Saccharomyces cerevisiae S288C: one gene and its partners. The protein of the gene in region 3 interacts with the protein of the main gene of each other region in a biochemical or structural test. Each region holds a gene or a part of one and is shown on either strand. Other genes may lie near its edges.

Evidence for each region.
Region 1: the proteins of CPR6 (region 3) and HSP82 form a complex in vitro, tested with the Saccharomyces cerevisiae proteins (7 studies listed by BioGRID).
Region 2: the proteins of CPR6 (region 3) and RPD3 form a complex in vitro, tested with the Saccharomyces cerevisiae proteins (one study listed by BioGRID).
Region 4: the proteins of CPR6 (region 3) and SBA1 form a complex in vitro, tested with the Saccharomyces cerevisiae proteins (one study listed by BioGRID).

The regions. Positions count from the first base shown.
Region 1 is NC_001148.4:95,996-100,389, forward strand, and holds HSP82 (Hsp90 family chaperone HSP82), read right to left. Parts: upstream 2,631-4,394; coding exon 501-2,630; downstream 1-500. Other genes in the region: GTPase-activating protein CIN2, read right to left, coding at 1-158, 239-263; YAR1 (Yar1p), read left to right, coding at 3,489-4,091. UniProt on the Saccharomyces cerevisiae protein: Molecular chaperone that promotes the maturation, structural maintenance and proper regulation of specific target proteins involved in cell cycle control and signal transduction. Undergoes a functional cycle that is linked to its ATPase activity.
Region 2 is NC_001146.8:16,925-25,603, reverse strand, and holds RPD3 (histone deacetylase RPD3), read left to right. Parts: upstream 1-6,301; coding exon 6,302-7,603; downstream 7,604-8,679. Other genes in the region: EGT2 (Egt2p), read right to left, coding at 1-1,556; MDJ2 (Mdj2p), read left to right, coding at 2,330-2,770; PEX6 (AAA family ATPase peroxin 6), read left to right, coding at 2,971-6,063; AAD14 (putative aryl-alcohol dehydrogenase), read left to right, coding at 8,356-8,679. UniProt on the Saccharomyces cerevisiae protein: Catalytic component of the RPD3 histone deacetylase (HDAC) complexes RPD3C(L) and RPD3C(S) responsible for the deacetylation of lysine residues on the N-terminal part of the core histones (H2A, H2B, H3 and H4).
Region 3 is NC_001144.5:569,665-577,924, forward strand, and holds CPR6 (peptidylprolyl isomerase CPR6), read right to left. Parts: upstream 3,548-8,260; coding exon 2,432-3,547; downstream 1-2,431. Other genes in the region: FRE1 (ferric/cupric-chelate reductase), read left to right, coding at 1-963; cell proliferation protein CDC123, read right to left, coding at 1,112-2,194; COA4 (Coa4p), read right to left, coding at 3,802-4,254; MSC3 (Msc3p), read left to right, coding at 4,487-6,673; CCC1 (Ccc1p), read left to right, coding at 7,161-8,129. UniProt on the Saccharomyces cerevisiae protein: PPIases accelerate the folding of proteins. It catalyzes the cis-trans isomerization of proline imidic peptide bonds in oligopeptides.
Region 4 is NC_001143.9:215,799-223,720, reverse strand, and holds SBA1 (Hsp90 cochaperone SBA1), read right to left. Parts: upstream 3,398-7,922; coding exon 2,747-3,397; downstream 1-2,746. Other genes in the region: DNA-(apurinic or apyrimidinic site) lyase APN1, read left to right, coding at 1-369; serine/threonine protein kinase PRR1, read left to right, coding at 821-2,377; VPH2 (Vph2p), read left to right, coding at 4,504-5,151; OAC1 (Oac1p), read right to left, coding at 5,403-6,377; DGR2 (Dgr2p), read right to left, coding at 7,021-7,922. UniProt on the Saccharomyces cerevisiae protein: Acts as a co-chaperone.

The DNA of each region.
Region 1 (4,394 bases), on a different chromosome or scaffold from region 3:
ATTAATAGATTTTAATACATTTTCTATATCATTGGAGAAGTGTTCTTTTTCATAAGATGTCAAAGAATGTGACAGAGTATTCAGCTCACTTCGAAGACTTATGGTCTTCTTCTGCAAGGTCTTATAGTCACTCGTCTCTGAGAGTTCTCGTTCGAGCTCTACACAAAAAAATAGTATACGAAAATATGCAATGTTAATTAGTTGGACGCATAATGAAAGCAGATGAGTTTCAACATACCCTTTATCTTCGCAGTAAAGTCCATTTATGCTTAAGCTATTTCAGTTATATTCTTAAGTATATTTCACGATTTCAGATTCTTCGCGTTTTGTATGACACACTAGACGCGTCGGAATAGTGAAAACTCTAAAAAAATACATTGTAATGTTTTACCCAGTTATTTCCATGCAGATGCCCTATTTACATACTTATTTATTCATTCGAATACCTATACGTTATATTATGTTTTGTTTATAACCTATTCAAGGCCATGATGTTCTACCTAATCTACCTCTTCCATTTCGGTGTCAGCTGGAACCTCTTCAACCGGAGCTGCGGTGGATGCTTCTGGAGCAGTCTCTGTTTCTTCATCCTCATCAATGTTCAAACCCAAAGAGATCAATCTGTTAATTCTTGATGCAAAGGAAGTTGGTTCGTCCAAACTGAAGCCGGAAGTCAACAAAGCAGTTTCATATAATAACTTAGTCAAGTCCTTGACAGTCTTGTCTTGAGCACCACCTTCGTCAACTCTCTTTTTCAATTCCTTGATAATTGGAGATTTTGGAGAAATTTCGAAAGTCTTCTTGGAAGACATGTAGGAGGACATGGAAGAGTCTCTCAAGGCTTGAGCCTTCATGATTCTTTCCATGTTAGCAGACCAACCAAATTGACCAGTTCTGATAGCAGCTGGGGCATCCAACAATTTGTAAGAAACAACAACTTTCTCCACTTGGTCACCCAAAATTTCTTTCAAGGCCTTGGTCAATGGTTCATATTCTTTGATCTCCTTCTCTCTTTCAGCTTTTTCTTCGTCAGTTTCTTCCAATTCGAAATCTTTAGTAATGTCAACCAAAGTTTTACCTTCGAATTCCTTCAATTGAGTGAAGGCGTATTCATCAATTGGGTCGGTCAAGAACAAAACCTCGAAGTTTTTAGCCTTCAAGGCATCCAAAAATGGAGACTTTTCGACAGCCTTTAGAGATTCACCAGTGATGTAGTAGATGTTCTTTTGGTGTTCTGGCATTCTGGTAACGTAATCAGTTAAGGAAGTCAACTCATCTACGGACTTGGTAGAGTTGTAACGTAACAACTTAGCCAAAGCAGCCCTGTTTTGGGTATCTTCATGTACACCCAACTTGATATTTTTGGAGAAAGCCGAGTAGAACTTTTCAAATTGTTCAGAGTCTTCAGCAATTTCGTTGAAGGCTTCAATCAACTTTTTGACAATGTTCTTTCTAATAACCTTCATGATCTTATTTTGTTGTAACATTTCTCTGGACAAATTCAATGGTAAATCCTCAGAGTCAACAACACCCTTGACGAAAGATAACCACTCTGGAATCAAGTCTTCAGCTTCATCAGTGATGAAAACACGACGAACGTACAACTTGATATTATTCTTCTTCTTTTTACTCTCAAACAAGTCGAATGGTGCTCTCTTTGGAATGAATAAGATAGCTCTAAATTCCAATTGACCTTCAACGGAGAAATGCTTAACGTACAATGGGTCTTCCCAGTCGTTTGAAATAGACTTATAGAAAGCATTGTATTCTTCTTGAGTGATATCAGATGGGTTTCTAGTCCACAAAGGCTTAGTCTTGTTTAGTTCTTCTATCTCTTGAACTTCTTCTTTAACTTTTTTCGTCTTTGGCTTCTTTTCCTCTTCTTCATCGACTTCTTCCAATTTTGGTTTCTTGTCGTCTTCATCCTTCTTTTCCTCATCCTTCTTTTCCTCGTCTTTCTTTTCTTCTTCTGGAATTGGAACTTCCTTTTCAACTTCCTTGGTGACGACTAATTGGATTGGGTAGGCCACGAACTCAGAATGTCTCTTGATAACTTCCTTTATTCTCTTTTCTTCCAAGTACTCCAATTGGTCATCTTTCAAGAATAACCTCAAGATGGTACCCCTACCAATTCTTTCATTAACTTCGTCTAGAGTAACAGTGAAAGAACCACCAGCGTTGGATTCCCAGATGTATTGTTCGTCGTCGTTGCTCTTTGAAATAACCTGAACTCTGTCGGCAACTAAGAATAAAGAGTAAAAACCAACACCGAATTGACCAATCATGGATACATCGGCACCAGCAGATAGAGCTTCCATGAAGGCTTTGGTACCAGACTTGGCAATGGTACCCAAGTTATTAATCAATTCAGCCTTGGTCATACCAATACCAGAATCTCTGATTTCCAAAACTTTTTGCTCTGGCTTTGGAGTGATTCTAATAAAGAGATCTGGTTCTGTTTCCAATTGCTTTGGATCAGACAAAGATTTGTATCTAATTTTATCCAACGCATCCGAGGCATTAGATATCAGTTCTCTCAAGAAAATTTCCTTGTTAGAATAGACGGTGTTGATGATCAAACTCATCAACTGAGTAATTTCAGCTTGAAATTCAAAAGTTTCACTAGCCATATCTTTGCGTGTTTGTTTGTGCTTTTGTTTATAGGACTCTATTTTCTATCAGGTATGATTTCTTGAACTCTAATACAGCGGGAAGAAATGAGGAGGTCACAGATGTTAAGAATTGAAGGGATAAGCTGCATATTTATATGTTTTAGGGGGTGGCGGAAGGACCTGGTTGGTATTAAGATGAGAATTAACCGCTCATAAAACCATGCGCGTGTTTTTCTTCCACGGCGTTCTAGAAAAAAAAGAAAAATTCAAAAAGTTCTGCGAAACTCGAAAGAACCAGAATTGTTCGAACAATATGTGACAAGCGTATGAGTTAATAATCCGATTAAGCTTTATTCCTGTTCTTTTTTACGTGTATGTAAAACTGGTTTATGGATTACTGTGTTGAGAGAGGGGGGGTGACACCCTCCGGAATGTGATATATCACACGCTTGCACGTTGGTTCATATCGTAACCACGAAGAATACAAATACGCACACGCAAGCTAAGTTATATTTTAAAATATTCTGTCATCAAGCTTCCAAATACTTCTAACCATCTCTTATTCTCCTCTTAGTAGCCATTCTTTGCCACGAGGAATAAAAAGTCCCGCGCCACTAATTACAGGAAAAGAAAAATAGGACAATTCCATTTGATGTCACCGTGGTAATATCACCATGAACGATGATATGAAATTTTCATAGAATAAGAAGGAAAAGTAATAAAAGAAAAAGAGAATCTGAGAAAAAATCGATGAGTTAATTATCATTTGTGTAAAACAAAAACGAATTGTAATACGATAGGCAAAATTGTTCGCGCTCTATCTCAAAGAAAGTAATTATTTCCAAATAGAAAAAAAAAATCTACATATACGCAGATATGGGCCTACACAGTGAACCGTTAGATCAAGAGGACCAAGACACCATAATACTCGATGCAAGAGCTGGCGATTTGGATTCTCTGAAAGATATATTTACAACTTTAGTCAGTCCCGAGTTACTTTCGACTTGTAAGGAAAGTGAATCTGATTCTACGGCTTTACATATGGCTGCTGCCAACGGTCATATAGAGACCGTTCGGTATATACTGGAGACGGTTTCTCGCGCAAATAGTGCCGAAGACTTGAAAGCTTTTGTTAATGAGGTGAACAAAACAGGCAACACGGCTTTACATTGGGCGTCGTTGAATGGCAAATTAGACGTGGTCAAGCTACTGTGTGATGAATATGAGGCAGACCCCTTTATTAGAAACAAATTCGGCCACGATGCTATCTTTGAGGCCGAGAACAGCGGGAAGGAAGAAGTGGAAACATACTTTTTGAAGAAGTATGATGTCGAACCTGAAGATGATGAAGAAGACACACAAACTGAGGGCAAGAATTCGGTCCAAATCACAAAGGGTACAGAAATTGAACAAGTCACCAAGGAAGCCACCGAGGCTTTAAGAGAAGAAACCGAGAAACTGAATATAAATAAAGACTAAAGTAAAGAGCTTGTTTTCTTCGTGGAATAAAAGCCGTAATATCCATTGAGCATGATATTTTATTTCTTGGTACCGGAGAAGATAAAAGGATGGAACCAGCAGAAATGCATTAATAAATACAAAAAATTTAGAAAAGAGTTACAGTAATAATGTATATTTCTCTCACAAACTAAGTAACCGCTTCAAAAGCGTATATTTTGAATGCATTGAACTTTCCATTTCATTACCCGCAGAGCCGGAGTCCTCATCAACGACGGAGTGAAAAATTTTGTAATTGCGAGAAAAAGTGAAATTGATGGAAAA
Region 2 (8,679 bases), on a different chromosome or scaffold from region 3:
GTAGATTGACTTGCAGATGAAGCTCCTGAAACAGTAGTGTTTGCCAGGTATGGAGAGCTAATTACAGATTCAAGAACAGATGAGGATGAGAGTGTAGTGGAGTTACTAACATATGAAGGAGTAGTAGTATGTTGGGTAGCTGATGATACTGATATTGTGACGTTACTGGTGTATGATAGAGTGCTTGACAATTTTTCAGCAGATGAAACTGCTATAGTAGAAGTAGATTGGGTAACAGCGGTAGTTGTAGAATTATCAATGTAGGAAGCCTGTGTGACAGATATACTAGCTGAACTGATAATACTATATGTTTCAGTAGCAGACAGAGAAGATGAAGGAGTAGTAAAGGTTGAGTTTGAAGAACTTGGAGCCGATAAAGAAATACTTGAAGAAGAAGCTTGTTCACTGCTAGAAGAAACCGTAGAGACAGCGGACATGGAAGCGTCCGCCGAGGTGCTAGCACCGTCAACTGTAGAAGAAAGGATCCCGCTACTCAATGATGCAGTAACCGCAACTTCAGGGATAGCGGATGATTGCGAAGTATAAGAAGAAAGCGTTGAATTTGAGTATGTTGGTGTTATAGCAGCATCAGAGCTAGTTGTGTCATCACTGGTGGTGGAATCAATGTTAGCAGCTGACTCAGAATATAATTCTGAGGCTAGGGTGGTTGAAGTATCTCTCTTTCCTAAAAGTCTGACAGATGTACCTTCATCGGGATATGTTAATTCGACAGTATTTGATATGGACGAGGTAGATAGCTTCTTTGTGAAATAAGTCACACGGAAGTATAGCCCACCGCTGATTGTAGAATTAAATAAACATCTAATTTCATCTTCTGTGGAGTAGTCATGAACAGTTGTATATGGGATAGCATTAATAGGTTCGTTAAAAGAATCAACGGCAGTGACAACCTCAAACTTAGTTAACGAAGTATCGAATACGTAATCTGAGGAGGAAGATGTCTGAGAAGTCAAATAAACGGGATTTCTGAACGTTCTCATTGGTAAGTCAACGGTAAACCAGGCGGTATTATTAGTTTTGTATATACCACCATCTGTTGTTATAGCAGAAGTATTTTTAGCGACGTAATCAATAACGTCATTAAACATAGTATTTTCTGAATAGAAACTGTAAACGATGCTTTTTGGTTCTGTAACTTTGGATTTAGCATCTGATGTAAGCTGTGCAAGGAAGTTAAATGTAGTAGTTATATCTTCTGAACTCTTTTCTGGAATAGAAATGGTGAAATTGTTCGTCGATTTATCTGGGCGTGATATCGTGGCAACACTGTTAGAATTATGTTTTATGCTGAAGGGTTCTTGAGGGAATGAGCTGAAAGCATCTGGTACTTGGAATGTTATATTTTGCTGACTTCCCTTTGGAATAGACAGTTGCCCTTCTATTATGAACCAATGATCTGGATCCGTACATTCTTTTGTTTTGGTATAACTATCTGTTATTTGAATATCTTTTAAAATCGGTTGCGTTTGTGTGAGAGCGTTTGCTAGGCCGAGTATCGAAATGACTCGTACTAGATGTAACAATAGTTTATTCATTGTAGTGTTTTATATTATGCTTGTTTATGTTGATTCTACTGAAAGAAAACCATCAGAAAGTTTGAGTCTAAGGACACAAGTTTTAGGTCGGCAAGAATGTATTCTGCTTTTATATTTGTACTGTTATGGACGAATAAAAAAAAAACAAGCCACATTAAAAAGGAAGTACTAAATCGTATTCTTAGCATCAAACCAGCATCTTACTCATAAAAGCTTGAGTACCTTTTCGGAAGTGTCAGCCGAAAGTGTCAGTAAATTAGTCCCTTGTCAGCCTGCTGTTTTTCCTCACGGCGCGGAGCCAGCGCGTCCGAATTAGGAAAATAATAGAGCCAGCAAGAACCATTTCACTAAAGAGGTTACTAAAGAGGTTACTAAAGGAACCAGCAGAGGCTATATTAGTTGTGAATGGTACCATTCTATGCATAAATTTATTGGGATATGATCCTCCATGGTGGGACTTCGTTTAATATCAAATCCTTAGCACTGTTTTTTTTTGCTTTTTCTTTTTTGTGTTTCTTTTTCTTTGGCAGGGAAACGACATATCCAACATCCCATACACTATTGATCTTCGTTATGGCATTACTGCCACGCTCAACGTCATTTTTCGTCTTGTAGCTTATTCTCTGATTATTGTTATTGCAAGAGGTAAACGCTCATTGTGAATAACAATTTCGGAAACGGAGATACAATCTAGAAAAAAATAACAACAAACGAATTCGTTGCTAGGATCCACTCAATACACAGTATAGCCACAAAGAATAGGATATTCCAGCATGGTTTTGCCTATAATAATTGGTTTGGGCGTGACAATGGTTGCTCTAAGTGTCAAGTCTGGTCTCAATGCATGGACCGTCTACAAGACCCTGTCCCCTTTAACTATTGCAAAACTAAATAACATTCGCATAGAAAACCCGACGGCGGGCTACCGCGATGCACTTAAGTTCAAAAGCTCACTGATAGACGAAGAACTGAAAAATAGATTAAACCAGTACCAGGGAGGCTTTGCACCGCGAATGACAGAGCCCGAAGCCTTGCTCATCTTGGATATCTCCGCCAGAGAGATTAATCACTTGGATGAAAAATTACTGAAAAAAAAGCACAGGAAGGCTATGGTTCGTAACCACCCAGACAGAGGAGGGAGTCCCTACATGGCGGCCAAGATAAATGAGGCGAAAGAAGTTCTCGAAAGAAGTGTTTTACTAAGAAAGAGATAAAAGAACTTTATATATCATGTAGCCAATTGCTACACTTCCTTACACCACATAGTATACGGCGATAATCGTCAACACTTCCGGGAAAGTGCGGCCATCGGAGACTTTCAAACAAGTCATTAGAATTAGAACAAAGAACAGTAGTGGAGAGCATATATGTGTTTGCATACCCTCCAAAAGAAAGCGATTATAGTAACATTAATATGAAGGCATCGCTTACGTTTAGTCTCTCCGGAATATACGCCCCCTGTAGCATTTCTAGGGATATATATCTCGAATACGGCGATAAAAAAGCTGAATGTTTATATGGGACAATTAGATTGCCTCAGTACGGTCCAGGTTGCACGCCTGGTAAAATTGTACATTGTGTCCTGGATGATTCACTGCCCTTCTGTAGCATTGTTGTACCTTCCAAACTTTTTGGGTTTATGCCGACACAGCCCACTATGGATTTTTGCTATTTTGAACCCATATTAGACAATGTAGTACCTGTACTGGATAGCGTAACGTTTCTGATTAATGAACAATTGTACTCAAAACTAATGGACCTACCGCAAGAGATGCAACAAATACAATTTTTGCATTACAAATATAACATCAACTCCATGGAAACCGTGGTTCATTCTCGAGATATTTTAACATCTGGTCTTTGCCAAATTTTAAACTGCTCACCTTTCCCGCAGGGCCTTGTTGATTTTACAGAAACCCAATTGATATTAGTAAATGATACTGAGCAGAAACTAAGTGCTCTAAAATATGCTAACGAAGATGAAGAATATGCATTACCTAAAATAGGGACAAATTCTGCTTTATCAATTGATCTTGAATCTCTCCCCTGCACAATTTCAAGAGATCTTTTGCGACCTGCACCTCACATCAATGATGATAATTCAATATATGCCTTTACAGACGCTGAAACTCTACTGCGCCTGGATGTCACAAGTGGATCGTTTATAACAGTGTCAAATATGGGTTGCGTCAGGCTAGTTAAGCTGTTTGTTTTACTACTCCCCAACGGCTTTAAAAAAAGAACAATATACGCACCTCCCAAAATAATAGCAAGCTTTCCAGACTGCAGCGTCGTGACAATATCAAAGTCCAATATAGGCCATACAGATATTCCCATTGCTAATCAAGTTTTCATCTCAAGAGTTGGAGGCTGGCTTCAATCTCAGAAATGCTTTCAAAATATTATTCTAACAACCTTGAAAAAGTTTTTTAGCGAGAGCAAAAGGATTCTTTGTCAAAATGATTTAATCCCAATCGCTTTTGATTCAAGTATGGCTGATCTCAATATAGCAGAGGAAAATGATGAGTCTGATGACGAAGATGAGCTAGGGCAGTACTACAAGAACGATTCCCTTGTATGGTTCTTTGTCACAAGCGCAGAGCTCGATTGCTTCTCTAAAGATAATTCTCATTTTATTATTGATCCCAATCGGACGAAGCTAATAACAACTAATATCACTAACAGAAGACCATTACCCTTGAGTAGATCCAATCTTCAGAGATATTACGGTTTTGCTGAAACTTTTTACTATGATTTGCATATCTTCCCCTATGTAAGACAATTGGTTAACATATTAGAAACTTCCTTCAATTGTTCTCAAAGGGGAATCACCCTAAATGCCTCTGTGTTACTTCATTCCACTACAAACAATGTGGGCAAGGCTACAATGGTGAGATTTGCTTCAAAATATCTTGGTATACATCTACTGGAGATAGATTGCCTTTCGCTCACTTCAAATTCAAGACAACTGGATTCAACATCTAAGATTATTGGTTACATTAGGGCTAAATGTGAAAATGTCCTACCGTACGCATCACCTGCTGTGATTTTTTTGGCTCATTTGGATTCAATTTTGCTTGACGTAAACGCTAATCAAGATCCAGAGGCAATCAAATTACAAAAATCTATAAACTTCGAAATGTCTAAACTTCTGGACGATTTTACGTTTAAATTCCCAGGAACTACATTTGTTGGCTCCGTAAATAACATAGATAACGTGCCTTCCAGCTTTAGATCACATATGAGATTTGAGATTCTCGTACCCGTTCCGTCTGAAGCACAGAGACTGCGTATCTTTCAGTGGTACTTATCTTCACATGAACTAAACAGAGATGTTCAACAAAAGGTTCCAGTATCTTACATGGATAATATTTCATTTTCATCACTCTCTTCATATTCTGCTGGTTTAACTCCTTTAGACATCAAATCAATTGTGGAAACGGCACGAATGACGGCTACTGCGCGTTTTTACCAAGAATCAAAGAAGTGTGGATGGCTTCCGCAATCAATTTTGATCACTCAGGAGGATTTATCAAAAGCTACTTCGAAAGCTAGGAACGAATTCTCGGTTTCGATTGGTGCCCCACAAATCCCTAACGTAACTTGGGATGATATAGGTGGTATTGATTTTGTTAAAGGTGAAATATTGGACACAATAGACATGCCGCTAAAACATCCTGAATTATTTACCTCAGGTATGAAAAAGAGAAGCGGTATTCTTTTTTATGGTCCACCGGGTACAGGTAAAACTCTAATGGCTAAGGCCATTGCAACAAATTTTTCTTTAAATTTTTTTAGTGTTAAAGGCCCTGAACTGTTGAATATGTACATTGGTGAGAGTGAAGCTAATGTGCGCAGAGTGTTTCAAAAGGCGAGAGAGGCTAAACCTTGTGTCATATTTTTCGATGAAATCGATTCAGTAGCACCCAAACGTGGTAATCAAGGTGATTCGGGTGGTGTTATGGATCGTATCGTTTCACAGTTACTAGCAGAGTTAGATGGTATGAGTACCGACGCTGACGGTGTATTTGTTATCGGAGCAACAAACAGACCAGACTTATTGGACGAAGCACTACTAAGACCAGGACGATTCGATAAATTGTTATATTTAGGCATTCCGGATACGGATACCAAACAATTGAATATTTTAGAGGCTCTGACTCGCAAATTCGTGCTCGACAACGACGTAAAGCTTATTGAGTTGGCAAAGCTATGTCCATTTAATTACACCGGGGCAGATTTTTATGCTCTCTGCTCAGATGCAATGCTTAACGCCATGTCAAGAATTGCACGCATGGTAGAAAAAAAAGTTTCTCAGCATAACGAATTGACGGGAGAGAATATTTCTACACGTCGCTGGTTTGATAAGATTGCGACAAAAGAGGATACTAAGGTTGTCGTAAAAATGGAAGACTTCTTGAAAGCACAAGAGCAGCTCACCCCAAGTGTGTCGCGGGCTGAACTGAATCATTATGAAGCGGTGAGAGCTAATTTTGAAGGTGCTTAAGTAATATCAACTCAGAGCGTATAGGTAAATTTGTAAATATATGTCCCATATTTTGCCTTGAAATTTATCTTTTTATTTACTTACCCTCCCCGGCTCATAGTATCTATCGAAAGGGAAAAACAGAAAAGATACTAGTAGTTGATTATACATAATAAAAATTTGAAGTAATAACCATAAAGGTTCATAAAACAATTGCGCCATACAAAACATTCGTGGCTACAACTCGATATCCGTGCAGATGGTATATGAAGCAACACCTTTTGATCCGATCACGGTCAAGCCAAGCGATAAAAGACGCGTTGCATATTTTTACGATGCAGACGTTGGGAACTATGCATATGGAGCAGGTCACCCGATGAAGCCGCATAGAATAAGAATGGCACATTCCCTTATTATGAATTATGGCTTGTACAAGAAGATGGAAATTTACAGAGCTAAGCCGGCAACGAAACAAGAAATGTGTCAGTTCCATACTGATGAATACATTGATTTTTTATCGAGGGTTACTCCAGATAATTTAGAAATGTTTAAAAGAGAAAGTGTCAAGTTTAATGTCGGAGATGATTGTCCTGTCTTTGATGGGCTCTATGAGTACTGTAGCATATCTGGTGGTGGCTCTATGGAAGGAGCTGCTCGTCTGAATAGAGGCAAATGTGATGTTGCTGTCAACTATGCGGGTGGTTTGCATCATGCAAAAAAATCGGAAGCTTCTGGGTTTTGTTATTTAAATGACATAGTACTGGGCATTATTGAGCTACTACGATACCACCCCAGAGTTCTGTATATTGATATTGATGTGCACCATGGTGATGGTGTAGAGGAAGCGTTTTATACAACGGATCGTGTCATGACATGTTCTTTCCACAAATATGGTGAGTTTTTCCCTGGCACAGGTGAACTGAGAGATATAGGGGTGGGTGCAGGAAAAAACTACGCGGTCAATGTGCCATTAAGAGACGGTATTGACGATGCTACGTATAGATCTGTGTTTGAACCTGTGATAAAAAAAATTATGGAATGGTATCAACCTTCTGCTGTCGTGTTACAGTGTGGTGGGGACTCCTTGTCCGGCGATCGTCTTGGTTGCTTTAATCTTTCCATGGAAGGCCATGCTAATTGTGTAAACTATGTGAAATCCTTTGGGATCCCAATGATGGTTGTTGGTGGAGGAGGCTATACTATGAGAAATGTTGCAAGGACATGGTGCTTTGAAACAGGTCTACTAAATAACGTTGTCTTGGATAAAGATTTACCGTACAATGAATATTACGAATATTACGGTCCAGATTATAAGTTAAGTGTTAGACCTTCGAATATGTTCAATGTAAATACTCCCGAATATCTTGACAAGGTAATGACCAATATATTTGCTAATTTGGAAAACACAAAGTATGCCCCTAGTGTTCAGTTGAATCACACACCTAGGGATGCCGAAGATTTGGGTGATGTTGAAGAAGATTCTGCCGAGGCTAAAGATACGAAGGGTGGTTCGCAATATGCGAGGGACCTACATGTTGAGCATGACAATGAATTCTATTGAAAAAAAGAGTTGGAAGTATATACGAATATAAATAATGTGAAACAAAAGAAGAAAAGTGAATAAAAGGCACTTAAGACGCTATCCAATTGTGTATGAGAAGTGCAAACTCAATTTTTTTGCAAAAGACTTTTCTCAAACCTTTAATTGATGCGTTCCGTTCATACATCAACCGCGTCCCATACGTTTCGAAGAAAATTGCCTATATGTGTTATTTACATACTAGAGATATTTTAATATTGAAACAGTTGTATTTCTATTGTAATTACTATCTAAACGTCTCGTCCCACCGCTGTTGATAAAGCGGTGCCAATATAATTTATAATCACGCCTGGGTAAATGACTTTTAATTTCTTAAATCATCGAAGTATGCGAAAACAAGAAGTCTTTATTCATAATAAAAAACAAATTCGGTTACTACGACTTTTATATGTCATTCAATATTTGGTAATAATTTTACAGTATTAACCCTATCCTCATCTGATTCACTCTCTTCTAATTGCATATATTTTCAAATTCGCTTTCAGCGCTGTACAAAACCAGTAAGCAGATCTCGTACGAAGACTCAAATAAGTTGCATTGTTCGTATTCAAGGAAACCGGGGGGCAAAATTTCCAACCATATTTAAGTATGACAATATTTCCAAGTCAAGGATGCATGCTGTTCTTCTCTTCATTAACTAGCTAACCAATTAGCTGAACGGCTTTGTATTTTACTTAACATATTGTCTATTGCATAAAAAACCACTATTCAGCATGACTGACTTGTTTAAACCTCTACCTGAACCACCTACCGAATTGGGACGTCTCAGGGTTCTTTCTAAAACTGCCGGCATAAGGGTTTCACCGCTAATTCTGGGAGGAGCTTCAATCGGCGACGCATGGTCAGGCTTTATGGGCTCTATGAATAAGGAACAGGCCTTTGAACTTCTTGATGCTTTTTATGAAGCTGGAGGTAATTGTATTGATACTGCAAACAGTTACCAAAATGAAGAGTCAGAGATTTGGATAGGTGAATGGATGGCATCAAGAAAACTGCGTGACCAGATTGTAATTGCCACCAAGTTTACCGGAGATTAT
Region 3 (8,260 bases):
ATGAATATTATGTTCATTATTGCCATGTACTACCATTGTCACACCCTGGGCTGGATGGGTTGGATTTGGTCAATGGCTGGTATTTTATGCTTTGATAGATTCTGCAGGATTGTTAGAATAATCATGAATGGTGGCTTGAAAACTGCTACTTTGAGTACCACTGATGATTCTAATGTTATTAAAATTTCAGTAAAAAAACCAAAGTTTTTCAAGTACCAAGTAGGAGCTTTCGCATACATGTATTTCTTATCACCAAAAAGTGCATGGTTCTATAGTTTCCAATCACATCCATTTACAGTATTATCGGAACGACACCGTGATCCAAACAATCCAGATCAATTGACGATGTACGTAAAGGCAAATAAAGGTATCACTCGAGTTTTGTTATCGAAAGTTCTAAGTGCTCCAAATCATACTGTTGATTGTAAAATATTCCTTGAAGGCCCATATGGTGTAACGGTTCCACATATCGCTAAGCTAAAAAGAAATCTGGTAGGTGTAGCCGCTGGTTTGGGTGTTGCGGCTATTTATCCGCACTTTGTCGAATGTTTACGGTTACCATCTACTGATCAACTTCAGCATAAATTTTACTGGATTGTTAATGACCTATCCCATTTGAAATGGTTTGAAAATGAATTGCAATGGTTAAAGGAGAAAAGTTGTGAAGTCTCAGTCATATATACTGGTTCCAGTGTTGAGGACACAAATTCAGATGAGAGTACAAAAGGTTTTGATGATAAAGAAGAAAGCGAAATCACTGTTGAATGTCTCAATAAAAGACCTGATTTGAAAGAACTAGTGCGCTCGGAAATAAAACTCTCAGAACTAGAGAATAATAATATTACCTTTTATTCCTGCGGGCCAGCAACGTTTAACGACGATTTTAGAAATGCAGTGGTCCAAGGTATAGACTCTTCCTTGAAGATTGACGTTGAACTAGAAGAAGAAAGTTTTACATGGTAAGGCCCCTTGTTAATAATTCTTGCACGCATACTTTTGTTATTTTGTTGCTTTATCGGATAAAAGTTAATATAAATCGATGTAAATAATTTTATATAATCATACAACAGGGTAATAAAAAGACGAATATATTCAAATGCGGGTTCTAAATCTAAGTTTCATTCTCACTATCACTGCTTTCTTCCTTTGCCTGTTGAGAGAGTAGTTCTTTCCATTTTTGAGTGAGCTCTCGGATTGCTTCAGGATTTAAACTAGCTTCTACGAGATCCTGTGGAACATGATTTTCGGAGTGCTCTTTTGAAGCGAATCTCCCCGTGTTATGCCTCGTCACTAACCTTAATTCATAATCTTCAACATCATTCTTCGGAGGTGCTATCGCAGCAATCTCGTTCCATGAAAATAGCAAAGAATCTGTCTTCCTGGCAAACGGATTTATATCAACAATGAAGATTTTATTGAAAGGTCTTGGAATATAAACGTCAAGAACGAAACTTTTATCAGGAAACTTGGGCAGGACGACATCATGAACTATTTCATCAATAAGGTCCTTGAAGGTATCTGACAACTCATCTAAATAGTCATAATAATTTAAATCACGCTGGGTGGCCCCAACGATATGCGCATTCTTAACGAAGACCCTAAATTCGAGTGCCGGATTCATATCACACCATTGTCTAAGTACCAAGTCAAATTTCAATCCTTTTATATCATCCCCGTCCACGCAGCCTTTAAATGCTCTTTGAAGGTCATGCATTATGTAATTGGATGCGTTCAACAATAGGTAAAGCTCATTTACCTCGTTACACTTCATAGTGTTATTCGGCAAAATCCAGGTAGCGTCTCTTGGTGCAGACCAGTTTAACTTGGGAGCCACTGCACCTAATTCGTTCAAAGCATCCTTTAATTTCTGGTGTAATTCTGGAAAATCTATCAATGGCTCAACTTCTTGGACAAATTCGGTGGCGGTATCCTCATCGTCCTCCCAATCACTATAGTCATTATCTTCATTTCTTATTATTTCCTCGGTGTACACAGACCTGGAGTTTTCCTCTTGGGGTAGCTTGATACCGTCTTGTTCCAAATATTGAATAAATTTTTTCGGTAAGGATTTTAACACTATGGATTTTGGCACATATTTGGGATACAGTGAGGACCAAAACGAGTAAGAACAGTGTTCAACCTGCGCTCTTGTCACTGGTATATCTATAAAAGTTGTATATTCTTGTGAGGACATCAATAAGTAATTTATGTCAGCGCTTTTTGGACGCACGTTTTAGTTTCACTGGTGGAGTTACGGTATCATTAGCTTCTTAATCTTCCCACTGCATAAATGGACATCGGAAAATATCCGCTTATTATGCCTGAAAAAATAATTTTTTTAACAGAGTTTTCTACGTACTTTTTACTTAACTACTGAGGCAGCGCAACTGTTTAGTATTTAAACATATAAGCATATATATAATGCAAGTAATCAGGAGAACATCTTCGAAAGAGACTTTTTAGCTTTTTCGTTTTGTTGCTTTCTTTTTAATTTAGTATTATGAATAGCTTTCAAAATGGCAGCGTCATTTGGCTGGAAAGTAGTGGCCATTTCTAGGTCATTGAGAGCCATATCTGTGTCATTAACATGGTAATAGGCCAGGCCACGACGGTACAAAGCTTTGGCCTTGGCTTTTTCGTCAGCCGCTTCGGCATATAACACCTCCGATGAGGCTACTAATACTTGCTTGTAATCTTTTAATTTAAGAGCACAGATGGCAATATTCAATGGAATAGACACTTTCAATTGATTGATTTTTTCAATTTGTTCCTTCTCCAAATCTTCTGGGAAATACTCTTTCAAGAATTTATCACATTTGACATATTTTTCTAAAGCCACGGAATAGTTCTGTTTCTTGAACTGTTCAGTACCAATGTTCTTTACCGTTTCGATAGCTTTCAAGACGGTGTCGAAATTCTTCAAGTCAACTTTTTCGTCTTGTTTTAAAACATCTTCATAATTATCGCCGTACTCATCTGTTGGTGTAGCTTCGGCATTCTCTGGCACTTGATAATCGTCAGGTAACACGCCACAGTCATCAATCTTTACATCACGCAATGGCTTGTTGTTTTCTTGGTCACATTGTTGGTTTTCAATCAAACGAACAATTCTTTTACCTTGAATCACTTCACCAAACACAACGTGCTTCCCGTCCAAATGAGGTGTAGGAACACAGGTTATGAAAGCTTGAGATCCATTGGTATTTGGACCGGCGTTGGCCATGGATAGAAGGAATGGTTTATCATGTTTAACAGTGAAATTTTCATCCTCGAATTTTTCATCGTATATGCTCTCACCGCCAGTACCATTAAAATTGGTAAAATCACCAAATTGACACATGAAGTCTTTGATCACTCTGTGGAAAATGGAACCCTTGTACGACAATGGTACATCAGGTTTAGTCTTTGCCATACCAGCATTTCCTTCACACAACTTCAAAAAATTTTCAGCCGTTTTAGGCACTATGTCATTGTACAACTCAAAAACTATACGGCCTTGGGGTTTACCTCCAATAGAAATATCAAAAAAAGTTTTAGGTCTAGTCATTTTTACTCCTTGATCGCCTGAATATTGTCTTACCAGTTTTCTATGTGATGTGAGCGCATCAGCACCTCTGATATTCGACTTATTTAAATAATTTTCTGTCTGAACTTTCTCCAGCTAGGGCGGAAAAATATTCTAGAAGCTCATAGAAATGCCGTTCAAAAGCGTAACAGTTATGTTCTATAAAGGGAAACAATGTGTTTCGATCACTGCAGCTGTCTATTATATACAAGTTATACATCACGACATTTAGATTTTCATTTCTTCTTTTCCGAATCCTTACTGGTCGTCCCATCCACGTCCACTGTGCTTACGCGCTCTCTATTACCATTCTTTTCCCAACACTTCCTAAATAACGCCATCTCGTTGAAGCACTGCCTCCAGTCACCTGTTTCGGCATGGCACAGCTGTAATGCGAGGTTCTCTACGTAGCATCCGGTCTTGGATATTCTCGTGTCCCACACATCCGGGTCTTCGTCTTCTTGGACCTCTTTGTATTCTTCCAGCGCCTGCTTATAATACTCTGAAGTTTCGCCAGTTTCACTCATGACCAGTCTGCCAGTTTTAGCCTGCCAGAGCTTTTCTTTCCCTTTAATCTTCCCTTGTTTGGCGCAACTCTTAGAAGTGCCTTTCACTACCTTTAATGGCTGAGGCCCCTTTTTTTGTTTCGGACATTTGTTGTGAGAAAAAAAAGAAGAAAATAAAAGCATAAATGAAGCGAATGGATGAGAAGAGGGGAGGGAAAGCAAGAACGAGAAGGACAAACATCAGGGACCCATACTTCAATAAATTGCTTGATTTGGTGTTAATCAATTCTTCTAACATCAAACCTCTTTTAGTTTCCTTCGATCGTTTCACGTTGCTTATATTGATTGCTTTTTACTTCTATTTTTTCACTAGAATAAACAAACAAAGACATTCTGTTGATCAAGAAAGTTGAAAATGGTATTTGGTTTTACAAAGAGGGACAGGAGGGTACCTGATTTATCTAGGTATGATTACTACTATCAGAACCATGAAGATTATAACAAAAGTCCTCAGCTCTCTGCTGCTGCTGCCTCTGCTGCTTCTGCCGCATCACCGGATCGAACCAATTACTCAAGGTCGCACTCGCTGGTTAGTCATGCACCTTCAATACCGAGACAAAGAAGTTCGGTAAAGAGCCCAGGAAGAAGGCTTTCCACATCCTCTGCCGCTCCGCCAACGTCCAGGGCAGCAGCTAAGCAGTATTCACAGAAGACTTACTCGTTGAGGTCGCAAAGGAGCGGAGAGTACCATTTACACCCGCCCGGTTATACTACTAATGGGAGCCGTATGAATTCTATGACGTCTGGTGCGAATGTCAGAAGAAACTACGGTAAGAACAAATCGACGGCCGGCAACAATAACGATTCAAGGGCCAACTCCATTACCGTAAAGACTACACAAGTAACAGACCCTTCAGGAAGGACTCAATCAATTACCAAAAAGACAATAAGAAAAATAAATGGGTATGAATACGTAGAAACCACGACTACGACTAAGAATTTGGTTCCATTAGGTGACTCGCAGCGTCATTTCGATGAATTTAGTGAAAATTACATGTTGCAAGATGACGACATTTTAGAGGAACAAGCTAGTGATAACATTCACGATATAATCGAGGAAAACGAAACAGATAACGAAAAGCCATATTCCCCAGTAAGCGAAAGTCATTTACAAGATGATTCAGAGCTAAACGTGGAAAAACCAGATTTCCCACTTGGATCATATTTCCACCATAAGTATTCTACAGACGTTATGCCTCTAGAAGAAGAAAGTAGTTTATCAAACTTCAGTGACGCATTAGATTATATTCCTCCCACCCATCAGACCAGTAGTAAATATATTCATAATAAAAGGAAGCAAGCATCGACGACAAGAAGGAAGAAAAGACCGCCTGCCGTGAAAAACGCAGAAGCAGAGGCCAAGAAACCATTAACCGAAGCAGAAATGTATCTGAAGGCACTAGAGGTTGCTAAAAGAAACGTTTATCACACGGATGCTGCTTCGGATAACGCATCGGCCCCCCTCGGGAGTAACAAATCCAGGAAAAGTAGGATGGGTCAAAAAATGACCTTGAGAAGCAGTAGTGATTCTCCGACGGCGACTGCTAATCTTGTCAAATCTAATGTCGAGGTTCAACCAAAAAGATTTACAAGTTCCTTCTTCAGCAGAAATACTAAAAGCGCCCCCCATGAAGTGCACAATCACTCTGTGTCTACACATTTTAAATCGAATAAGGCTGTTGACCCAGTTCCAGAGCCTAAAAGTGCAAACACAGGGCTAACAGATAAAGAAATGTATGACCAAGCTTTGAAAATCGCACAAGCGAGGTATTACAACTCACATGGTATTCAACCTGAAGCAGTCGATAATAGCACTACGGCGGCTAAACCTCGTCAGGTCGGCGTTAGCCATCTGGGATCCACTGGGAGCATCCCGCCCAATGAGCAGCACTATTTAGGGGATTCTGAAATTCCAGTCCAAAGCGAAGTGCATGAATACGAGCCCATTCCATTGCAGAAGACAAAAACAACTGGTTCTTCCAAAAATAAGTTCAAAACCATGTTCGATAAAGTGCTGCAATTCTCTCAAGAAAACTACGGCTACCAGCACAAGAAGGAACAAGGCGAACAAACTCCAGTTACTCGTAATGCTGAAGAAAGCTTCCCAGCAGCGTCTATTTCGGAAGGTGTGACAACCGCAAAGCCATCTTCAAACGAAGGTGTGATGACGAATCCAGTAGTTACAGATTCACCTTCACCCCTTCAACAACAAATAGACTCGACTACTGCGTCCTCGAATGGGCAAAGTCAGGGCAATGTACCTACCTCCGCAGTAGCTTCAACAACGAGAACAAGATCACCGGAACTGCAGGATAATCTAAAGTCTTCTTCTTCGCTTTTACAGGACCAAACCCCTCAGCGTCAGGAAGACGCCACGGATCCAACAACATCATCGACGAATGAATTATCTGCCGCTGAGCCAACAATGGTCACTTCGACACATGCCACTAAGACAATACAGGCTCAAACACAAGATCCTCCCACGAAGCACAAGAAGTCCAGTTTCTTCACTAAACTGTTCAAGAAAAAAAGCAGCCGTTAGCAGTTGTTTACTCGAATTTTGCAATCAACCCTAATTTTTGAAGCCTGGTTTTAGATTTATTCTCTTCTTTTTCTTCTTGTGAACTTCAATTACTAATGTAACTTAATTTTTAATATAACTTTTACAGTTTAATAATATTGATTTTTTTCGGTCTGGACCAATCGCGCCGCATTTCTCACTAATATTACTAACATACCCTCTTCTCATTGGCTCGGTACCCCTTTCGTGACCCGCATTTTTTGTTTTCTTTGTTAGCCCGAATGTCTCACAATGAAGATGTAAAATTAAGATTATATATGAAAAATTGATACAAAACAAAATAGTTCAAATAATCAAGTTAAAGCGACATCACTCTCAATTTTTGCTTTTTTTAGGTTTATAGAATAGAAATATAACAGAACGAAGCCTTTAGACTCTTTTTTTTTATTGGTATATTGAACAAAGAAACTTTTTTTTTGTCCTCCCATATCTCGTGCACACAAATATTATGTCCATTGTAGCACTAAAGAACGCAGTGGTGACCCTTATACAGAAAGCGAAAGGTAGTGGTGGAACCTCAGAGTTGGGGGGGTCTGAATCAACTCCCTTGTTGAGGGGTAGTAATAGCAATAGTTCAAGGCATGATAACTTATCCTCATCTAGCTCGGATATTATCTATGGTAGAAATTCAGCGCAGGATCTAGAAAACTCACCGATGTCAGTAGGGAAAGATAATAGGAATGGCGATAACGGTTCGGATAACGAAAAGGCGAACCTAGGGTTCTTCCAATCAGTAGATCCTCGCGTAATTAGCGATTTGATTATCGGGCTAAGCGACGGTTTAACCGTCCCCTTTGCTCTAACAGCTGGTCTATCTTCACTTGGTGATGCGAAATTGGTCATTACCGGTGGCTTTGCTGAGTTGATCTCAGGTGCGATTTCTATGGGCCTTGGTGGCTATTTGGGAGCGAAGAGTGAATCTGATTATTATCATGCTGAAGTAAAGAAGGAGAAAAGGAAATTTTACGATAACTCCAACCTAATTAACAGAGAAATTGAAGACATTCTGTTAGAGATTAACCCTAATTTCTCGGACGAAACAATCGTTTCGTTCATCAAAGATTTACAAAGAACACCTGAGCTAATGGTTGACTTCATTATCAGGTACGGTAGGGGTCTAGACGAACCTGCCGAGAATAGAGAACTAATCAGTGCAGTCACTATCGGTGGCGGTTATCTACTTGGTGGGCTAGTACCACTAGTGCCATATTTTTTTGTCTCAGATGTGGGCACAGGTCTCATTTATTCTATAATAGTCATGGTTGTAACATTATTCTGGTTTGGTTACGTAAAGACAAAACTATCCATGGGTAGTGGCAGTTCGACTTCAAAGAAAGTTACGGAAGGTGTTGAAATGGTTGTTGTGGGTGGTGTAGCAGCAGGTGCGGCTTGGTTCTTTGTTAAGTTACTGGGTTAAGTGTAAAGTAACAACACTATACATATTTATTGTAAAGAAATTTGGGATTGAGAAGCTTTGCTATATACTTGGAACTGGGCTGGATTTTCTCGACATACATTTCTTTTACGTTTTAATTTGTTTCTATATTC
Region 4 (7,922 bases), on a different chromosome or scaffold from region 3:
CGCTTGGGTCAAGGTTATTTGGGTATAGATGTGTTTAGAATGATCGCGCACTCTGAATACCTGCAGGGTATCCCTATTGTCTTGGAAACTCCATACGAAAATGATGAAGGCTATGGTAATGAAATCAAACTTATGGAGTGGTTGGAATCAAAGAGTGAGAGCGAATTGTTAGAAGACAAGGAGTATAAAGAAAAAAATGATACGCTGCAGAAATTAGGTGCTAAATCGCGTAAGGAACAGTTAGACAAGTTTGAGGTTAAACAAAAGAAGCGAGCTGGGGGCACCAAGAGGAAGAAAGCCACTGCAGAGCCAAGCGATAATGATATCTTGTCACAAATGACAAAGAAGAGGAAGACTAAGAAAGAATAATGAGAAGCGAGAAGAATTTTAAATACGTAATCAATTTTTGTAGATTATCTCAACGTACGTAACTAAATGCTACCCTTCGTCATCCAAGATGCTGTTGCCCATTTCATAGAAACTACTTACTTGGTTTATAGATGTTTCGCGTTGCGTTACAGAATAAGGCAGCCTTTTTTTTTTTTAGATTTTCATTTTTCACATACTGATGGATTAGCAGACGAAAAGGGTAAAGTTAAATACATTCCAGTAAATGAACTAAGAAGGCTGAGCACACCATCCTCTTATGGAACGTTATTCCTAAGCATAGAAAGTTTTTTACTTGTAATCTTCAACGCGGGGTGTGTTCTTTATCTTTTTTTTCTTTTTTACACAATTAGACAAGTATATTTTGAGATAGTAATCACATCTACGCTTCGAATTCATCCATACCCACAGCAGCTGTTAGGTTATACCGACAATGGATGAATATAGTAGTATATATTCACAACCAAAGACTCCTCGGTTGAAACAAGAAGGATTTCCCGACTCCATTGGCGATCAACACGAAAAGGCATTGATTGATGAAAATGGTGAGGAAGATAAAAAAATGGCATCCACTGAAGGGACCACTGGTGATTCTCGCAGTACACCTTTGACTGTATCTATTCCGACGTTTGAAAATGTCCAAGCATTACCTACACCGATGACCTACACTCCGTTATCCCCAGGCAATCTGTCAATGTCACCTATAGATCAATCCTCGTTGAATATACCCAAAAGACGAAGTCATGCACGATTACTGGATGATATGCTTTCTGTTACACAACCAAACCAAAGAGTTGTTTCTGAACTTATTGCACCAGCTAATTTATCCCCCCAAAGGGTTGTTTCCTTACCAACAGTGACTGAAGAGGCTTTAGTAAATGATTCTGTTGATAGTGATAACTACACGAAAGAACCTTATTTTCCCGAAAGTAGTAGTTCTACCGAAAAGTGTGACGATGATATATTTCAGGGATTTCTTTTAGATCACTGGGATCGCCCGTTATTATGGAAAAAGGTCAGGCCCATTGGTTCAGGAAATTTTAGTACCGTACTTTTATATGAACTCATGGACCAAAGCAATCCTAAACTGAAACAAGTGGCCGTTAAACGACTCAAATATCCCGAGGAATTATCAAATGTTGAACAAATCAATACATCGTTACGATATAAGGAAACTTTATCCCGTTTGGAAAATTCTCTGACTAGGGAATTGCAGGTGCTAAAATCACTAAATCACCCATGTATAGTTAAACTACTTGGGATAAACAATCCAATTTTTGTTACTAGCAAAAAACCTTTATGCGATTTGATTATAAAAACTCCAAGAGCTCTGCCGCCTTGTGATATGATTATGTCTTATTGTCCTGCAGGAGACTTATTAGCTGCCGTCATGGCCCGTAACGGAAGACTAGAAGCGTGGCTGATTCAAAGGATTTTTACGGAAGTAGTACTGGCAGTAAAATATTTGCACGAAAACAGTATTATTCATCGGGACCTAAAATTAGAGAATATACTACTGAAATATAGTTTTGATGATATCAACAGTTTTAGGGACTCACCCATTTACTGCAAGCAAAATTTCATTGAGCTAGCAGATTTTGGTCTCTGCAAAAAAATTGAGAACAATGAGATGTGTACAGCAAGATGTGGATCAGAGGATTATGTCTCACCAGAAATCCTGATGGGAGTTCCCTACGATGGCCATTTAAGCGACACGTGGGCCTTAGGTGTCATACTATACAGCTTGTTTGAGGACAGATTACCATTTGACCCTCCTCCAAACGCTTCAGCAAGACAGCGTAGCAGAGCTACGTCACATCGTATTGCCAGGTTTGATTGGAGATGGTACCGGTTAAGCGATTATAAAACTAATGTGGGAAAACAGATTGTGGAAAATACGCTAACGAGGAAGAACCAACGTTGGTCGATTAATGAAATTTACGAATCCCCCTTCGTTAAAACGATCGCTGATACTCTAAGTTTTTCTTGAAATTTCCCACGGATGGGAGTTACTTTCGTTTTCTTTCTTATTGCTTACACCTGATAATCATCCAGCATATAGAAATTGTTCTTTAAATATCACATACAGTTCCATTACTTGACATTTGCAACATAATATTTCTGCTTTTTTCTCTATTTTGCATCCAATATAGCTTCTATCTGCTTACTACTGTCTTTTTGACAATGTACAATATATATCTAAGATAGTTACGAATAAAAATATTTTTATTAATTCCATAATATTTAATTACATAGAGGCAGCCAATAACAAACAGGTAAAGAGTTGTGTAAAGTGCATATATTCGTCTTTTATTCTAAGTTACTCATTCTAGCACTCCAGGTTGATTTGCTCCTCCTTTTAAGCTTTCACTTCCGGCTCTATTTCCTCTTCTTCATCTTCTTCATCGTTTTCTTTGAAATCTCCCATGTCCAAATTACCACCGCTTTGAGCCAATAATTGCTGCAATTGAGCCATATCTGGAGAACCAGCGCCACCAGCACCTCCCATCATTTGGCTGAAGTCCATGCCTCCAGCACCTCCAGCACCTCCAGCACCTCCCATCATTTGGCTGAAATCCATTCCTTGAGCGGCATCATTACCTTCAGCTTCAACTTCGTCTTGTTCATCTTCATCAACCCATTTATCGAAATCAGTTTTGATGTAAGGGTACTTCACCTTTTCCTTTGTCAAACGTGGCCAGTATTCAGATTCTAAATCCTTTTTATACAATTTCAAAAAGTAGTGCTGGCCATTAGCAACCTTATGCATTGTTTTTTCAGGTATAATTTCCTTGTATAGATCAATGTGTAATTGATAATGATGGACATTTTCATCGCCAACATGAGGCTTTGATTGAGCCTTTAATTCGATGTATGATGGCTTAATGGTTAACTCAGGGGCATCACAGTCTGCAATTGACACAGTTATTAAGACATAATTTCTTTCTGGATCAGTAGTACTAGACCTTTGAGCCCATGCAACTTGAGGGTTAATAACTTTATCGGACATGACTATTATGAATCGATGATCTTGGGAACTTGTTGTTGTAATGAATTGAGTCCACTAGGTTTCTCGAACAAGTTAATACATTGCCACCCATTTCGTCTTTTTATGCTTTTTTCCATGCTAATTCTTGCCGCTCCTCTCCGCCCCTTCAAAAACACTCGGAAGGCGGGTAGCATTAAAAGTCGAACAGTTTGTTGGTAACTTTTGTAGGTATATGTGTACCAATAACCACAAATTAAGTATTGATTATCACAGTCAACCTCTTTGTATATCAAAAATTATACTCTGTATTCATAAAAGGCAGTTATTTTAAAAGCAAGTAACGGCAGGAAAAAAATTATTAATAAGTATAAAAAGATTGGACGAGTCCGGAATCGAACCGGAGACCTCTCCCATGCTAAGGGAGCGCGCTACCGACTACGCCACACGCCCTATTTACTGTTAGTGTATTTCCACTTAGATTACTATAACAAGCTCTTTTAAACAATAAAACAGTTCTATAACAACCGATTTACGAAATTCTTCTGAGTAAATGAGGTCACAAATGAACTTTCTTTAACTTCCTCTTTGTCTCCATTCGTTTTTCCATGCTTTTTTTGTTTCTGTCGAAATGAAATCCTTGTATCATCTATTGGCTAGTATTCGTCTTCCTAGAATATTATCACAGCGGTGTAAGATGATGACATAGAGATTGGGAAACAGTTATCGGTCTTAATGGAAGCTGAAATGCAAGGATTGATAACGTGATAGGGTAATGAATGGCAAAGTATAGAAGAAAAGAAGTTAGAGTAATATTATCATGTAGAAAGACCGATTCCATTTTGAGGTTTCCTATACCCTCGAGGGGAACTTTTAGGATATTCTGTGTATCTCATACTATAGTCTTTAACTATGATTGAATCCGAACAATTATATTGTTCACGAAATACTCAGTTTTACAAAAATCTTGTGTATTTAACTGACTCAAAGTAGACATGACGGACGTGTGAATATTTAAAATGAGAAACGAGGAAGCGAAAATAAAGCAAATCTCACATGAAAACGCTGAAAGAAATGAAGAAAAGGTAAGATAGGATAATTGACGATTGGCATCACATAAAAGAACTCTAATGTTCGAAATTAAACTGAATGATAGAATAACTGAATTTCTGCGAAAGTTCAAGAATAGCGCGAAATCAAACGAAGGAATTGATGAGGACATTGATTTGTTCCTGAAGCGACACGCAATACCTATGCAGTCACTTCTTTTTTATGTGAAAGAGTATAGAAAAGACAGTGATCTCCAATGCTCTATCAAAGAACTTTTGAAACCTTTGGAGTTCGAATTCAAGCCCAAGGCCGTCAGAGGTTTACACTATTCAGAGGATTTCAAGAAAAAATTAGAGTTTTTGAAATATCAGGAACAAGAACTTGAATATCAAAGTATGGTCAAGAGAAGCAAGTCTGTCTTTTCACTTCAAGAAGACGATGAACTCACGCCTTCACAAATTAATAAACAGATTAAGGAACAAGTTACCACTGTTTTCAACGTTCTTGTAAGTGTCATATCGGTTGTTGTGGCCATTTGGTACTGGACCGGATCTTCAACAAACTTTCCGGTCCATGTTCGTCTTTTGTTGTGCTTGTTCTTTGGAATATTGGTCTTAGTAGCAGATGTGGTTGTGTATAACAGCTATCTGAAAAAACTCGAAGAAGCAAAAGTAAAAGAAAAAACAAAGGTTGAGAAAAAGAAAGTTCTAAGCAAGATTACACTGTAACTGATCATTTTATAAATAAGAACTCCGAGATCCGAGAGCATATAATTCTTGGAACTGGACAATTGTGAATAATGTTCTGTATGTTTATAATTACGTTTATAAAACTATCGTGTATGAATGTGAAATAAAAAATGCTCTATTATCCTTAATGCTACATAATATGAAGAAAAAGGTTGTAATGAAACCATTAGTAAAGTAGAACTGTCCTGGCCAATGAATGAAACTTCAAACCTCGGAGTTTGTTATGGGAATTAATTATGGCCTAAAACTCTCGACTCTATCGAATAAACTAGTTTCATTGTCTGTTCCATGAAGGTCAAACACATGATTGTATGAGGTGCGATTCTGAACACTTGAGCTGCAAAACCCTTATACAAAGCGGTTACACCTTCGATTCTAACAGTTTTGACCAAACAATCTATAGGTCCCTTGTACAAGTCACCTTTTTGATTATAGATTCTTGTCAAAATGACATCCCATGGGTTCATAACGACGGCAACACCTAACCCAGAGATAGTACTAGCAGTTAAATGTAATGCTGGGCCATCTTTCATCAGATCATTTTTGACCAAAATGTTCTTTGCTGTGTTGTAGATAGGTAGTTGAACAGAGGAACCAGCACCTGTCCTTAAAATTGCCGCATCAATACCTCTGAATAGACCCTTAACACCTTCGGTTTTAAAAATGGTTACTAACCCGTTCCAAACACCGGTGTAGTGCGTTTGTTCACCAATTTTTATAAACTCGGAATATGATTGAAGTCTTGTTTTCACCAAGAATAATGGAGAGCCAATGACTGCACCAATTATACCAGATGCGGCACCAGAAAAGACGTTAACTCCGACGCTCTGTACCTTATGTGGCTCTTGATCTGGGAAGAAAAGCTGATTTAATGATGATCTGATTGGCTCATAAAACCCTAATCTGGAACCATTTAGCCCAATTTGATAGATATAAGCAGCATTTAACCCTTTTTGCAGACCTTTTATACCTTCGTTTTTGAAAATTACCGCCATACCTTGGATTGGATTTTTATAAACTTTTGCAGCTGATGCTGACATTTCACCTTGAAGCTGCATTCTGATTTTAATCAATTCGATCGGATTAGTAACTGTAACAGCTATACATGCTGCTAGCCCACCAGCCACAAACGAACCAAACTTCGATATCTTCTGGGCGGCTGTTTTTTCAATTTGTTTATCTTGTTTAGAGTTGTCAGATGACATATTTGCTTACGATATAATTCGATGAGATGTGCTTGTGTCTGACTTGCTATAGCAATCTAAGGAAAACTATTTCGGATGGAGTTCTGGAGTGGGGGCATTATGGAAGAAGAAAGTATATCTTAATGTTGCATATAATCACATAGTTTATATATATGCAGTATTTATCATTTGACGACTTAGTCACAGCTTGAAATTTCAGCGGTGCTTAATGTTCGTTTTCTTTTTTTTTTTTTTTTCCGCAACAGAAGGCCGATTCCGCTGTAACTTAATGAGGTATTAAATGCCAGATTCGTTTTCGTGACCTCCTTTAGCATATCGGCAGACCCTGACTCGCAACTGGAATAACACCACATGCGAACAAAAGCATATTTTTGCCCTACTTAATTTGAGAGTGGAAAATCTTTCCTCGATTTCATTTTTCTTATAGCCCAATTGACGTCTCTGTAGGCCCTAATAGACCCCATCGGCCTAAGACCGTTTCCGGCATCTTTCGGGTTGTAGATGGTTCTGTGAGAAAATGTGTCAGTAATGAAAAATAATAAAGATCGCTACAGATATAAATAATAATACTATGTTATTTGCAGACATGCTTATGATCTAAAGACGGTGGAACAGATAGTTTTTCCTCTTACTTTCTGATTCTCTATCTGAAATTATTGAGGATTGTACCACAATCAGCACACGTGAAACCGCTATCACCGCCAGCAATGGGGTTTTTGGAAGCACATTCAAAATTAGATCCATTGCAGACGTCACATTTCAACTTCGGATAAGTGGTAGAAACTCTCGGAATATCATGCGGTCCAAACACCGTGGAGCTCGTACTTTCACTTCTTGACTTTAGGGATATAAAACTTCCATTGGATTTATTAAAGATCGAATTCTTGAAAATAGCACTAGCTCTTGATGGCATGCCGGAAATCACCGGGCTATTATTAGGATGCAGCTCACAAAAATCGTGGCTTGGCCTACTATTGTGCGTGTTAGATGGTGGGGTTGTGCTAAACTCATTATCCTCTGTGGAACTTCTTTCATCCATTCTATTTTCCAATATGCTGTCATTGTTGTGGTTGTTGATTTTACCAGCAGCTTCGAGGTGGAATAAATTGTATTCATGGAACTTTTCTATTATTTTTTTTCGTATTTCCGGTAAGATATCAGTTCTGAAAACACGGATTAGACCTTGACTGTCTGTTGTTATTAGAATGGTTCCAACATTATTCACAACGTTCGATAGGTTTGAGCTGAATCCTCCTGTTTCTGTAACTGGGTGATTAGGTTTGTTATCACATGTTTCCTTAGATTCTGAATAATTTTGGCCCATTTCTTTGAAGTACTGTGAAGTCAGTTCGAAAATCAAATCGTTTGACAAGGACAAATTTTTAATTGCAACGTCGGGAGCAATGGAAGCACATGTGACAGGGGAGTTATGGGCATGAAATGATATATAATGATTGTTTTTGATAGCTTGAGAACCAACAGTTTGAGTTTGAAGAACATTTTTTGATGAGTTGGTAAATGTGTGTGAGCTGCTTTGGTTTGACG